Arabidopsis thaliana: one gene and its partner. The protein of the gene in region 1 interacts with the protein of each later gene in a pairwise test. Each region holds a gene or a part of one and is shown in the gene's direction. Other genes may lie near its edges.

The links.
Region 2: the proteins of AT5G57860 (region 1) and MYB67 interact in a two-hybrid assay, tested with the Arabidopsis thaliana proteins (2 studies listed by BioGRID).

What each region holds. Positions count from the first base shown.
Region 1 is NC_003076.8:23,435,772-23,443,923, forward strand, and holds AT5G57860 (Ubiquitin-like superfamily protein), read left to right. Parts: upstream 1-1,782; 5' UTR 1,783-1,958; intron 1,959-2,148; exon of another isoform or gene 2,149-2,184; 5' UTR 2,185-2,219; coding exon 2,220-2,222; intron 2,223-2,502; coding exon 2,503-2,688; coding exon of another isoform or gene 2,689-2,703; exon of another isoform or gene 2,704-2,834; coding exon 2,835-2,874; intron 2,875-3,257; coding exon 3,258-3,316; 3' UTR 3,317-3,632; downstream 3,633-8,152. Other genes in the region: ADCL (D-aminoacid aminotransferase-like PLP-dependent enzymes superfamily protein), read right to left, coding at 1-652, 741-907, 1,144-1,190, 1,381-1,516; eIFiso4G1 (MIF4G domain-containing protein / MA3 domain-containing protein), read left to right, coding at 3,984-4,157, 4,816-4,887, 4,993-5,100, 5,191-5,400, 5,502-5,599, 5,719-5,806, 5,899-6,249, 6,337-6,579 and 1 more.
Region 2 is NC_003074.8:4,040,496-4,048,156, reverse strand, and holds MYB67 (myb domain protein 67), read left to right. Parts: upstream 1-3,441; 5' UTR 3,442-3,634; coding exon 3,635-3,797; intron 3,798-3,989; coding exon 3,990-4,750; 3' UTR 4,751-4,869; downstream 4,870-7,661. Other genes in the region: AT3G12730 (Homeodomain-like superfamily protein), read left to right, coding at 27-103, 224-299, 403-475, 584-923; AT3G12710 (DNA glycosylase superfamily protein), read left to right, coding at 6,329-6,722, 6,946-7,003, 7,099-7,585.

The sequences.
Region 1 (8,152 bases):
TTGAATCACAGGTCTGATCGGAATTCCACTACCAATAAGCATCATCTCATCTGCTTTCTTTCCATCTTCGACTGTCACATCCATTACTTTCACAGTTTTAAGAATCCCCTTGCTTACAAGCTGTTCAGCGAGTGTAAGTGTTCTCTTTGCTGTACATCCGCTCAAAACGTTATCAAACCGCGGCATCACAAGCTCCTTACCACCATTAACAACAAACGCCACATTCATGTTCGGGCCTTCTGCAATAAACCCATCTTTACACACCCAAATACCTGCATAAGCTCCTTTGGCCTCAGCTTCCATTTGTGAGAGTACGTTAGGGAGGTAGTTAACACTTTTCACCGTGGCAAACTCTGGAGGCTTTATGGGGATGGACGAGGTCACTACCTTGACACCTATTGGGTTAATGGCGAAGTTCGTTTTTATAACAATGGCATAGAGAGTTGGTTTGAGACATTGAGATGGAGATAGGAGGAAATCCCCTGGCCCTGCAGAGAGCCAGTATCTTAGAGATCCATCTCTACATCCAGAAACGCTCACGGTTTGAATGAGAATTCTTTTAATAGTTTCTCGATCGAATGGAAGTGGGATCTTAGCCATTGATGCAGATCGCAAGATACGGTCAAGGTGCTGATCCAATTCATAAAGGTATCTGCTTATTCGTAGGACAACAAGCGAAGCTCAGATGATTGAGTAATAAGACAAATTAGAAAAGGGGGCTACTATTTAAAGTGACTAACCCATTGATGATCAGGGCAGTGTCAAAGACTCCATGACCACGGTGAACCATGTGATCATCCAATGGAAGAACCATCGCTGCTGGATCGGTTGTAATTCCATCAACAACACTTGAGTACATGGCCAAGAACTGTTGTCCTCCTCTTGCTAGTTTTAGCCTCTCACCAACCTTTTAAACCAAACATACTTCACTGATACTCAATCAATCAACGCCTCTAAACATAAACGGATAACAAACAAATGTCGCAATCCTTCATTACGGGCTGCATCTATAATTTCATTGACAAAACACAGAAATGTCTGGTGGTTGTGTCAATAAACATCTCTAGCTAACAAATTGTGAACAGTTTCAAGAGTTAAAGATATGATTGATAAGTACAGACATAAAAGAGAAACCATAATTACCTCATAGCTAGATAAAACAGGAACATTCCACGACTGAGAGCTTGAATCTGTGGAGAAACGAATGCAGATTTTTGTCATCAATTCCAGAACACTTATGGAATTTAACGATCAACAAATTGATCTCTTTTTTAGGGTAATAAGTGTACATTACCCTAAAAAGATTATAATAAATGCATCACCAATCACAATCCAGAAGAAAAATCAGAAAAGAGAGAACACAAGGTAGAAATGTCGAACCAGAACACATGAGAATCGTTCTTCTTCGTGTCAACCGACGCGGGAATCGAAAGCCATGTCTTAAAGGACATGGAACTTGAGAGAGAGACCTGAGATTCCAAGTGTTAACTGTAAACTCCAGCGACAAACCTGCCATGGGGTTTGGGACTCAAAAGAATAGAGAGAGAGAGATCATTCGGAAATAGCAACTTGCTTTGCATTATTATTATCTCAGTCGTGAACTGGAAGAAGACGAAAAAATATTTGGGCCTAACTTCACCACAAAAATAAAATAAAGTTATTCGGCCCATAAGCCCAATATGACTTTTCGCATTGTATTTTAATATTCAATCAATCAAAAATAAAAGCCTAAAACAAAACAAACCCTCTCTGTCTTTTAGTGGGTTTTGTACGACGCCTAATCGATGTTAGTATTATATCTGTAGCCAAACAAGCCACCAAAGTGGTATTTTTCTTCTTCCTTCCTTACCTTGTAGGGCTCTGAGCTCGAGTTATAAAAAAGCCAACTTTGATTTCTTTGCCAGTATTTCATCCTTAATCCATTCTTGTGGTCACTTTTTCGTCCTTAACCCATCTAGGTAAGTCGATTTCATTGTTTGTTATTTGAGTCAGTAATTTTTGAAAATCTTTGCTTTTTTTTCTTTTCTTTTGAATATCAAAAGAAGAAAAGATTTGGGGGATAACTAGATCATCTCTTTAGTTAAATTGACTCTTTGAGGTGTGTCAATTGTCACTGATAGTCTGATTAATCTTTTATTGGCATCTTAGAACAGATTTTGATTCTAAAGTCTTGTGAATCGGCAGCGGAAGAAGAGTGAATTGTTCATCCTTATCTTGCCATGGTAAACATTCTACTTCTTTTGTTCACTTTGATGGGTTTGATTGTTCTTAGTATATTCAATCCTTTGCTTATTTGACGGGAAGTAGAGATGTTTTTGGAATGAGAACATCTTTTCCCTTCTTAATTCCAGCTTCCTGATCACATTTATTACTGTTCTTCTTGGAGTAATAAAAGTTGAGATACTTTTGTCTTGCAATAATTTTGCTTTAATCAATCGAACAAGTTAGATTTTGGCCATATTGGTTGTAGTATTGATTAGTCTTGTGTAATATTGTTTGCAGGCTATGTATATTCGTGTGAAGCGCATGAAAACTACTTACTTTATCCAATGTGATCCAACAGAGACTGTTTTGGATGTTAAGCAAAAACTGTTTGCTCTCATTGAGCAACCAGTTAACAATCAGCGTCTGGTCTTAATGTCTACCGAAGAAGTATTAGAGGATTCGAAATCCTTAGCAGATCAGAAGGTATCACACGTTTGACTATCTAATATATTTATCTTTTGAGTCATTGCTCAAGTTTAAAAGAAGAACTTGGTCACATAGCCACTGCCTCCGTTTGCGTGTATTTGAAAGTTATAAGCTTGTCACCATCTTCTTTTTTGGTTGTTCAGGTTGAGAATGATGCAGTTGTGGCTTTGACTTTGAAGAAAGGTTATACCTTAGATCCTCTTATTCTGAAATTTTCAATTCCTTGTTGAAATGTCGTAATGGATCATGCATCTTGGTTAATTACTTATCACACTTCATCTTTCTATATGTTATTTGGTATATGAACCCTTCAAACTCCATTGACTTCAATTGAGCCTGTTATTGTGAATCTTAGTTATTTTGTTATCACTGGATAATCTTTTGGTATGTTTAAGAGTCTTGCCTAACTTTTGTGACCGTGATATAGCTGAATGTGATTCCTAATCTTATTATTCTTTTAGCCTTGTTTCGATTACACAACTGTTGAGGATGCTGTATTGCATTCTGAATCTATACAGCTATGAACGGCATAATGATTGCATTGCATCTCTTTTTTCCATGTGCAGATGATAACGAGTTTGAGGATGTCAACATTGCACAGCCCACCGACTTCTCACTTTCATGAAGAGTTGCTTACTGTATCAAGGAAACTTCAGGAGAAGGTATTGATTCAAAACACAAGGAGGAGTCTATAAACGCCAGAAGTTGTTTCTTTTGCGTCTCTGCTTGTGTTAACGCCTCTTTAGTTTGTTACAGACAATTGTTGTAAGTAAAGATATTGAGATGTGGAAGTTTGATTGCAACTTGCCAGATTAGTAGTTTTTACAGTCTCTTAATATGTTTACAATGAGCTAGAGGTGCAGCTAACACGAGCCGAGGAAGCTCCATTATTACCATTTGACATTGTTCATTGACGGAAAACCCAATGAGGGTGACAAAATAAAGAGACAAAAAAACAAAATGAAAGGACATAACTGTAATCTTAACGGAAAAAAACGTTAAGGCTATAAGTGTGTCTGGTTCGGGAAAAAGAGAGGAAAAAAACCCTAATAAAGAGAAGGGATTGTGTCTCCTTCTCGACTTCTTCTTCTTCTTCTCATTTCTCAATCTCAACTTTTCTCTTCTCTTCTCTTCTTCGCTAACGGCAGGAGAGAGAGAGACCCAGAAATCCGATCCCTCCTCTCCTTGGATTATCGGAGTCAGCGATTCATCGTCGCTGATAAAGCTTCTACCTTTCTCTTCGATTTTTGTTGTGAGATTCGATTCGATCTTAAGGCGGATTAGATCGAGGTATGCAGCAAGGCGATCAAACGGTTCTGAGCTTGAGACCTGGTGGCGGTCGAGGAAACAGACTATTTGGTTCCTCTTCTTCTTCTTCGTCTCTCTCTTTTGGCTCTCTTTCATCTTCGGATCTACCTCTCCTTCGTCCTCATGGTGGTGCTCCTGCTTCCTCTTTTCCCTTCAAGGTACCCTCATTTCTGGGTCCCCTCTCTAAATTTGGATCTAACTCCCTCTTCTTCCTCTGATTTAGAATTTGTTTTATCTCTCTTGTCTTAGCTTGAGCTAAAAATTTATCCTTTTTTACGGGTTTGTCGCAATCAGCAGCCTTTTTGTTTGGAATTATAATCTTTGGTATATTGCTGATTTGATTCTCTCAAATGTCTGAATTGGCTAATATCTTTCTGATTTGCGAGTTTTAATGCTTTGTGTTTGTAATAACTACTGAGCTCATGTTGGATTTTGATAGGTGTCTGCAACATACATAATTGAACTTCATAGGTTTATATGTCAATACGAGTAATGCAAGCAGTTTGTTTGTCCTGATTCTTAGTGGCGCACGCAAGTATGTGTTTCTGCTGTAAATATGGACGTATAATGATATGTAGGCTTTTAGGTGGGCATTTTGTTAGCTGCTATTTGCTCATAAAGGACCTACTGACATTTCTTCTAGTTTTTCTTTAGTTCATCACTCATTTCGGCCTTATGGTTAAAGAATTATTCCTCTCTTTCTTTTGTACTGAGTACTCGTGGTTCCTTGTCTCCTTTATACGTTATTTCTTATATGATTTTGTGTATTGGGTGTTAGTTAATGAAGATTTATCCTGGGTTGTGCTTTTGTTTCAGGGTGGAGACTCGAGGTTCGATGGCCGTGAACGTGTGAAGTACACCCGTGAGCAGCTCCTGGAGCTTAAAGAGGTGATTATCCCAGTTAAATAATATAGGATTAAAGCCGGTTTAGTTTCTGCTGTTCGTATTTGTTCTTCCTTAGTTGAGGTCATTGACGTCTGTGCATATATACAGACCACTCAACTCTCTGATGAAATTCTGAGAGTCCAACGGGAAACTGCAGCTGAACTGTTTGGTGAGGAAGGGACTTGGGCACGTGGAGAAAGTGTCGTAAGCAATTTGGTATAGTTTTGTTGAAACATAAATTTTGCATTTTGGTATAGTTTCATGAAGTTTCACTTTTAACACATATCTTTTATTTTAATGGTTCAGGTTCCCGTTCAATCCGCAAGTCGCTTCTCTGAGCCAGACTCTCGTGATTGGCGTAGCCGTTCTACTCAACCTCCACCCTCTGGGGAGGAAAGGTCGTGGGATAATCTTCGTGAAGCTAAAGATTCCAGGTATGTTGAAGCAAGTCAATATAATCGTCAAGACCAACCTAATTCCCAGTTTTCAAGGGCAAACATATCATCCAACCAAGGGGTAATTGATCAATAGATGAATGTTTTTCCCTCTTCTTAGCCCTTTACATTCTGGCATGATTTCTTATTTTTCTTACTTATTTGTATATCGTGTGGAACCAGGGTGGACCAGCTCCTGTCCTCGTCAAAGCCGAAGTTCCTTGGTCAGCTAGAAGAGGAAACCTTTCTGAAAATGATCGTGTTCTGAAGACTGTGAAAGGGTAATGCCGTTGTGACAGTTATTAGTTGTCTAGACTTTTGTATAACTTTCCTTTACTGCCAACATGAAATCTTTAAAATAGACTATGCACACTTACAAAGATATACTTTTCTTGTCCAGGATACTGAACAAGCTAACCCCTGAAAAGTATGACCTTCTCAAGGGCCAACTTATTGAATCTGGCATCACATCTGCTGATATCCTGAAGGTGTATGCTATGTCTCAAGCATAGATGAAGTCTTGTTTGAATCATCTAGGCTGTTTGTGTGGCTAACCCGTGTTCTTTTCTTTCATTTGTAGGGTGTGATTACCCTTATTTTTGACAAAGCTGTCCTTGAGCCGACCTTTTGCCCTATGTATGCAAAATTGTGCTCTGATATCAACGACCAGCTGCCCACCTTCCCACCTGCAGAGCCTGGGGATAAGGAGATTACATTTAAGAGGGTTCTACTGAATATCTGTCAAGAGGCATTTGAGGGCGCTTCTCAGTTGAGGGAGGAGCTTAGACAGATGAGTGCTCCAGATCAGGAGGCTGAGCGGAATGACAAAGAAAAATTGTTGAAGCTCAAGACTCTAGGAAATATTCGTTTGATTGGTGAGCTTTTGAAGCAGAAGATGGTCCCAGAAAAGATTGTTCATCACATTGTTCAGGTTAACACCTATAAGCTTACACATTTTCTTAGACTTCTTTTATTTTGGTATCTAGCATTAACCTTTCTTAATTTGTTCTGTGCACAGGAGCTTCTGGGGGCCGATGAGAAAGTTTGTCCAGCCGAGGAAAATGTCGAAGCTATTTGTCATTTCTTCAAAACTATTGGCAAACAACTTGACGGAAACGTGAAGTCAAAACGGATTAATGATGTATATTTCAAACGCCTACAGGCTCTGTCAAAGAATCCTCAGTTGGAACTGCGTCTGAGATTCATGGTTCAGAATATCATCGACATGCGCTCCAATGGCTGGGTTCCAAGGCGGGAAGAGGTATTCTAGGTTTTACAAGGTTGAGACTTGTTTCCTGCTCCATTGTGTAGTGATTCTAATGTTCTATTTACATTACTCGTGCAGATGAAAGCAAGAACTATAACCGAAATACATACTGAGGCAGAGAAGAATCTTGGTCTCCGACCAGGTGCCACTGCAAATATGAGAAGGGGTATGGTTTCTAGTGGTGGGCCTGTGAGCCCTGGCCCTGTCTACCCTGGTGGGCGACCTGGTGCGGGTGGCTTGATGCCTGGTATGCCTGGGACGCGAAGGATGCCTGGGATGCCCGGAGTGGACAATGATAACTGGGAGGTACCCCGGACAAGATCAATGTCTAGACGCGATGGGCCAGGACCTCTACATTCTCCAGCAGTGAGCAAGTCGGCCTCAATGAACACGAGGCTCTTACCTCAAGGCAGCAGTGGCATTATGAGTGGCAAGACAAGCGCACTGTTGCAGGGAAGTGGTTCAGTGTCGCGTCCAGTTACCGTGTCAGCAGAACGGCCAGCACAGTCAGTTGCACCTCTGACCGTACCAGTTCCGGTGGAGAAACCACAGCCTAGTGGTCCCAAGTTGAGCGAAGAAGTGCTCCAAAGAAAAACAAAGTCGCTTCTCGAGGAATATTTCAATGTCCGACTACTTGGTGAAGCTCTGCAGTGTGTAGAGGAGCTTGGTTTGCCGTCATATCACCCAGAGTTTGTGAAGGAAGCAATATCCCTGTCTCTTGAGAAAAGCCCGCCTGTCGTTGAGCCAATTGCTACACTCTTGGAGTATTTGTTATCAAAGAAGGTAGTCGCACCCAAGGATCTTGAAACTGGGTTCTTGCTCTACGGTGCTATGTTGGACGACATTGGAATTGATCTTCCTAAGGCACCAAACAATTTTGGTGAGATTGTGGGAAAGCTGATTCTGGCTGGTGGTGTGGATTTCAAATTGGTTAGAGAAATTATAGGGAAGATGGAAGACGATAGGTTCCAGAAGATGGTGGTCGATGCAGCTGTACGCATTGTGGAGTCAAGCGAGCAGGGGAAGTCCTTGTTGGCCTCACAGGCTGCAGACATAGAGGCTTGTCGGAATCTGTAAAAGGAATCATTACTTGACGATTTTGCTCTCTCTGGGTCTTATGCTTGTGCGATGAATGTTGTGTTGTAAGCTTGAAGGAGGAGGAGAAAAGGATTCTCAGAACTCAAAAATAGTTTTGCTCTTCGTTGAAGCTTTTTCTTATGACATTATTCTCACCACTCTTCTTTGTGGGCATGAGTCCATGTCCTTTTTTGTATTCTTCTGTGACTTGTCTTTTTTTGACCTTTGCATTTTTGTTTTACGGTCTCAGTTATTATATTCAGTTGATTGTTGTTGAGACTTGAGACCCCTATAAACTGGTCGGTTCAGATAATTACATTGGAAATGTTTGATCATCGTCTTCCTATTATTCCTATCTGATTCTGAGCTAACATTAGTTGAGTAAATGATTCATTCGACCTTAAGCTTTATCAAGTTTGATCAATGGGCCTGAGTGGGCTTTGTAAAGCGTCACAAAAACTCTCCCGCGCAGGACAGAGAATCATTAGTT
Region 2 (7,661 bases), on another chromosome or scaffold:
ATATTAATTGCGCTATATATGAGCAGAGGCTACACCAAAGACAATAATGAGAGTTATGGGTGTGAAGGGTCTCACTCTTTATCATCTCAAGAGCCATCTCCAGGTGTATATACCTTCTTCCTCAGTTTCCTCTTCTTTAATTTTTTTGTTATTAGCTTCTTTTATAATCTTGCCGTAGTAATTAGGATTTAAAACATATACTGTATGTGTGTTTCAACTACAGAAGTTCAGACTTGGGAAGCAGCCTCACAAGGAGCATAGTCAAAATCACTCCATTTGTATTAGAGATACAAATAGAGGTCTGTCATAAACTTAATTATTAATTCATATATACATTGGTTAATTAATTCATCTGTGACTATGCCATGAATATATGTTAATTAATAAACATCATGCATGCAGCTTCCATGTTGGATCTTCGAAGGAATGCTGTTTTCACGACTAGTCCGCTCATCATTGGTCGCAATATGAACGAGTATGTGCCTTCAATTCCAAATCCTAACTATATATTGATTCATATATAAATAGATATATTACTCAAAATTTTATAATATAAAAATGGTAATTATGGATGGTAATGAAGGATGCAAATGGAGGTGCAAAGAAGGATAGAGGAAGAGGTAGTAATAGAAAGACAGGTGAATCAAAGGATAGCGGCACAAGGGAAATACATGGAGAGCATGTTAGAGAAAGCATGTGAAACCCAAGAAGCAAGCCTCACTAAAGACTACTCTACTCTATTTTTCGACCGCACCAATATTTGTAACAACACATCGTCCATCCCAATCCCATGGTTCGAGGATCATTTTCCTTCCTCTTCCTCCATGGACTCTACGTTGATTCTCCCCGACATCAATTCCAACTTCTCCCTACAAGATTCTAGGAGTTCCATCACTAAGGGCCGTACGGTTTGTCTCGGTTAGAGAAGAGATATATCAAATATAGATCTAGCTACTTGACTCTTTCTTCTCTAGTTTCTAATGCGCACTTGGTGTATAAAATTATGCACAAAATTACTTGTAATAACTTATGCCAAACATATGAAGTCTTCGTTATTCCCTTGATCTATATATGCGATGATGTGGAACGTATGCTGCCTCATGATTATCACAACTCTTGTGTTTTGTTATATATGTGTTCACTTGCACAATGATACATATATTTTACTCAATTTGGACAATTCTATAGTTCTAAATTCGATCCTAGTTCTCACAACCTGATTTCTTGTTTTTTGTTCTTCGGATGGTTTTGTTTTTTCTAGAAGCCCATGATATATGAATTTATATATTTTAAAGTCACATCCATTTACATGCAAAATCTCTCCGGTCAATTTTTGTTTATAAAAGTTTATATGCACAATTATAACCGATCAATCTTGCGTCTTTCTATCTAGTCACTTTTCTAGCCATCATCACCACCCACCGATACTGGCCTGTTCATCTCCAGTAGTCTTAAATAGAATATCACTGCAGTACTTGCAGGCTTTTGTGAAAATTTTGCCATTTCATGGAATTATGGAAAATTTGAATTTATCCATGTGCATTCTAATAATTCTGTACTAGTCCGATAATTGAAATTAGGGCCGAAAGCCTAAAACTAGAAAAGCCCATTCCTATATCAGGTCCCCCCCCCCCCCCCCCTCCTTAAATGGTCAAAAACTCGAATTATATTTGAGGGTTCATAGACCTGTAAACCAGCTAGAGAGAGTCTGGTAATGTTGTATTCTCAAGTCTTAAGTATGTCGGTTGACGAGTCAATGGAAGTCTTATGGATCCGAAACGGTCAAAAATGGATGTAATTTTTTAATCTTTTGTAAGGACTGCGCTGGTACATAACTTAAAGATAAGATTGGACGATGGAGTAAATATGTTGTTTGTTTTCTCTCACACTTCATCAGTTTTCAGATCTTTGTTATTATTCGTTGTTGCTCACCTTTTATTTCTAACAAAAATAAGTTAATGTAATTACATTTACATGTCTCATTTTTACTTTTAACATCATATACAAGTTCATCATATACTACCTTTTAAGCTGAAATATAATTACAAACAAAATAAGGAGTCTTAATTTTTTGTTTTAAAAACAGATCACAATGATGTAATGTTGAAAAATGTAAATTAATCTGCTACGTCAAACTAAACGTTGGTAATTACACACAATGACACAAAATAAGTAAAAACAATCCAGATCACAAATGCTGTAATGTTGATCACGTTGAAAAATGTAAATTAAACTGCTACGCTAAACTAAACATTTGGTAAGTAAATTAGAAATTTTGTACAAAGAAAGACAACACCAAAAGAGCTACGTAGTATATATAGAGCTTCTTATTTACTACTCCGACATTTAAATCACGTACGTGTCTTTTGCAACTCATGAATCATGATAAGTGATTACCCAGTTATTATAGCTTTTCACGAAAATGAATTGTGTTACATCATTCTGACTTCATGATGTCAAATTAATACCAGAATGGCCCAAAATTTGCCTCTTATTTCTTTAATTTTAGAATTTTTAAACAAAAAGATTACCAAGTGGTCTAATTCCATCAGTTTACTCAGGGTTAGGGTTTATCAATATTTAATTGCAAGAAAAAAGACTGAAAGAGAGGACTACGTTATATTAATGGAAACCTAGAACAAGTGTATAGTTAAATATACGAAGCTTCATCTACACAAAGATTTTTACATATACGGTAATTAACAGCGACGTCTTTATATTATTATGTTAATTAACCGCTTTCTCCCTACCCATTAGTTTATTCTTACGTTTAACTTGACGGGTTCAAATAAACGTTGCGTTGTACACCTATCTCTCTCTTTATCTATTAAGCTTGACGCGTACGTGGCTTACTTAAGAGGACATGTTATTCGGAAGTTCCAGGGAAAGATCCAATTTACTAGTAGTTGAGATTAGGTCGGAATTTTTATGCAATCGTGCTCCCTACTTTACCTCTAATTTTAACTAATTTGTTAGTAAATGAAAACGTATTTACGGATGGCAATACTATTTATGATTCCAAATATCCAAAATTGAGTGCTCATTCGCTTCTACGACTGTTCAACAAGCTAACACATTTGCAGAAAAGTCTCCCATGATGACGATAAAAGTAGCAGACTGGGACAAAAATTTATGAGCATATATAAGTACAAGTTATACGTGAAGGGGTAGTAAAACCCAACGAGTCATTCTACTATTTTCTTACCAATGATCCGAAATATTTGTGAAGTCTAGTAGACAACAAGTAATGAGTGAAACAGAAACTAAAAACTAGTAATGAGTGTCCTGGTTAAAGCATACATATATAAGATCATTAAACCATTGCATTAAACTAAACTGATAATTATAGGATTTTAAGCATGCAATGTATGACAATAACTAGAAACACAAGTTAACGAGATACATAGATGATTTTGTTAAGGAAAGTGACGTGAACTACTGGTGTCTCTAATCAGGCTTCCATTTGAAGACACACAGAGAAAAAAAGAGAAACGACACAAGTTTGGTTAATCATATATAGTAGATTAATTCTCCCAAGAAAGATATTAGTACTGATCAGGGAAAATACATCAAATAGTGACCACCCTGCTGGTTAATCAACACCAAGAGACCTTGTAATATATAAGTTAGGAAGATGAGAGAGAAGTGGGAAATGAAAAGAGATGAAATGGGACATCGATGTTGTGGAAAACACAAAGTGAAGAGAGGTCTTTGGTCTCCAGAGGAAGACGAGAAGCTTCTTCGTTATATCACCACTCATGGTCATCCTAGTTGGAGTTCCGTTCCAAAGCTTGCCGGTTTTGTATCTTCTATCTCTACTTCCCTTTTCTTTTTACTATTTTTTGTTCATGAGTCTAAACATACAACATGTGAAAAAATAATAGTCTTTCAATTCAAAACTAATTAGCAATGAGTGAATTAGCCTATGTTTTTTATATACTATATGCTCGATGTGGATTAATCCTAACAGTATCTATATGTGTGTATAGGGTTGCAGAGATGTGGGAAGAGTTGCAGATTAAGGTGGATAAACTATCTAAGGCCTGATCTGAGGAGAGGTTCGTTTAATGAGGAAGAAGAGCAGATTATCATCGACGTACATCGTATTCTTGGTAACAAATGGGCTCAGATTGCTAAGCACTTACCTGGACGCACTGATAATGAAGTCAAGAACTTTTGGAACTCATGCATTAAGAAGAAACTTCTTTCTCAAGGCTTAGATCCTTCTACACATAATCTTATGCCTTCACACAAAAGATCTTCTTCTTCAAACAATAATAATATCCCCAAGCCAAACAAAACGACGTCCATCATGAAGAACCCTACTGATCTTGATCAATCAACCACTGCTTTTTCAATCACAAACATCAATCCACCCACTTCCACTAAACCAAACAAACTTAAATCTCCTAACCAGACTACAATCCCATCTCAAACCGTGATCCCTATCAATGATAACATGTCAAGTACTCAAACCATGATCCCTATCAATGATCCCATGTCAAGTCTTTTAGATGATGAGAATATGATTCCTCACTGGTCAGATGTTGATGGAATGGCGATCCACGAAGCTCCGATGTTGCCTAGTGATAAGGCAGTAGTGGGAGTGGATGATGATGATCTCAACATGGACATTTTGTTTAACACTCCTTCTTCTTCTGCTTTTGATCCTGATTTTGCTTCCATTTTCTCCTCTGCAATGTCTATCGATTTCAATCCCATGGATGATCTTGGCAGCTGGACCTTTTAGCTTTTACTCTACAATATTTTCATTTTCTCAAGTGTATATATATGAATAATTGCCACTTTCTGCTTTTCACTAGTTTTGAAAAGCTGAGAATTTTCCAAATCAGTGTCTCATTTTTTTCTCCATCAATCCCACTAAGACTTTGTTATGTGCAAATTGAAATTTTCACCATCTAATAAAGGCTTTTTGGCTAATCTATACTTGCACCGCCCATATTAACATGCGCCTAAATGGGCTATGTTAATTGTAAATATGGGTGTGAGATTCAACCAATAAAGAAAGTAGCCCACTAGAGGCCCAATAGATTCAATAAGTGTCTTGCGTTCGCGCGCTATGATTGATGAGAGACTACACGGCGGTATTCCATTGAAATAATAATGCTAGTTTTTAATGAAACTTCGTGGGAAGAGCGAAGGCAAAGAGGGAACATGTTACATTGCCACACCACATTCTTCTAATTAAATTGCGGGCGTACACTTGTACATGAATATGCATACAGGTGTTGAAAAGGTCAAATTATAGTAATCAGAAGAAAAGATTCACAAAATGGGAATCCAATTATTACGTCCCGCGTTTGATTGAAATGAACAATACGGATGAAGCAAACATAATAATCTCATGAATATTGAAATGATTGAGGAGCAAGCAACACGAAGACCGACACCGAGGCACAGTAGATCGAGAATAAAGGACATGTATTAAGTAGTGTTTATTATTATAGTATTGGTAATAATGTATATACAAGATAAGTGGAACCACATGGTCTGTCTCCTTATCTTCATCGTAAACACTTTAGTTACTTAGGATTTGGTCCTTTAATTTCATCAAGTTCACCACAATTTCTCTTCTACTTCTTTCGACCTACATGTATAAATAATGTTAACATTTGCATTTCATAGAAAATCTAATTGTACATGAAGAGATAGATTATATATGGAAAGTAAATGAAACGAGAACGACAGTAGATGCGGTGACATACAATTGAAAGAAAAATACTTGAATAAGTTGTTGACTAAAATACTAATATACAGTTATTCTTGTATATAACAGAATTGCCTTTGGAAAATATGGGTTTAATGTTTGATTAAAAATCTCACAAAACAAAAAAATTGCTGCTAAAAAAATCACATAATATCGGATACCAACCATAATTTTTAAATATGACAAATATAAGAAAGCAGCCTAAAATGATACAAGAAAGAATATCGAAGTACCAAAAGAAAAGTAAACACAAATAGTTAGGGGAAGACTTAAAGGTCACATGGGATGATTTGGTGGCATCATTGCATCAAATCCTGCACATGCTCTGCTTCTTCTCTTTTCTATATTCCTTCTCTCTTTTTATTTTGTTGTTACTTGTTGTCAATACTAATACAAAATTTATCCACACGGTTTTATTTTTAGAATAATGTTCACATATTATTATTACGAGTATATAACTACCTTTCAATTCTCTCTGCCTCTCATAGTTAATATATATACGTTCACAATCACTTCTCTTCTCTATTTCTTATTCATTATCTCAACCCTCTCTCTCTCTCTCTCAGTACAACTTATCATCCATCACCATATATAGAGAATATGAGCAAAACGGAAGCAATCAGCTTGACCAAAAGGGGAATGTTGCCGCCAAGTAGTTGCAATAGCCTAATGGACCGCTCTGAGTCCCTTAAGAGGGACAGTGTGATGGGCAATGGTGCAGCCAAAGTGAGAGGAAGCTTGGAGCGCAAGAAATCAAAGAGTTTTAAGGAAGGAGATAGTTATTCTTCGTGGCTCATAACGGAGGCTCCTGGGAGTATAGCCGCCGTGAGGAGAGAGCAAGTGGCGGCACAACAAGCACTAAGGAAACTAAAGATTGCTCATTACGGTAGATCCAAATCAACCATTAATTTCACTTCTTCCAAAGTCGTCCCTCTTCTTAACCCTAACCCTAACCCTCATCCTCAGAGATGCAGCTTCCTCACCCCCACTTCTGGTATAAACCTATTTCTCTCTTTATTACTTGTTTGTTTTCCGGTTAATGTTAGTTAATTTCACTTATGAACTGATTTTATTAAGTTTCACCCTCTTAATTTCCATTTTGGTATTGTTTGAATCAGCTTAAACCCCTTGTATATTATTTTAAGTTTTCTTTGTAACTTTAGGTTCCATCTTATAAAATACTTGGATTCCTAACTGATTTGTTTGGTTACCTTTAGATCCTATTTACGTGGCCTACCATGATGAAGAATGGGGAGTTCCAGTTCATGATGACAAGTGCGTGACATAATTAATACTTCTTTCCAAATGAAAACGTCATTGTACATTAGTTCATTTTGTTCAAAATTAAATTAGTTATGTTAAATTTTCAGGACGTTGTTCGAACTGCTGACCCTAAGCGGCGCACAAGTAGGCTCCGATTGGACTTCAACCTTGAGAAAACGCCATGACTATAGGAAGGCCTTTATGGAGTTTGAGGCGGAAGTGGTTGCCAAACTCACCGAGAAAGAGATGAATGCAATAAGCATCGAATACAAGATAGAGATGAGCAAAGTGAGAGGTGTTGTGGAAAACGCTAAAAAGATCGTAGAGATCAAGAAAGCGTTTGTGTCATTAGAGAAATACCTTTGGGGATTTGTGAACCACAAACCAATCTCCACGAACTACAAGCTTGGACACAAGATTCCGGTCAAGACATCGAAGTCGGAGAGCATCAGCAAAGACATGGTTCGTCGAGGCTTCCGGTTCGTGGGTCCCACTGTGGTTCACTCATTCATGCAAGCCGCTGGTCTTACAAACGACCACTTGATCACTTGCTGTCGCCACGCTCCTTGCACTCTCCTTGCAACCAATCCCTAATTATTAATTTTTAATTTAATTGAAAGTGGTGTTTTTATTTAACTTTCGAGTGCAAAATGTAGGTTTAGGAGAAAAG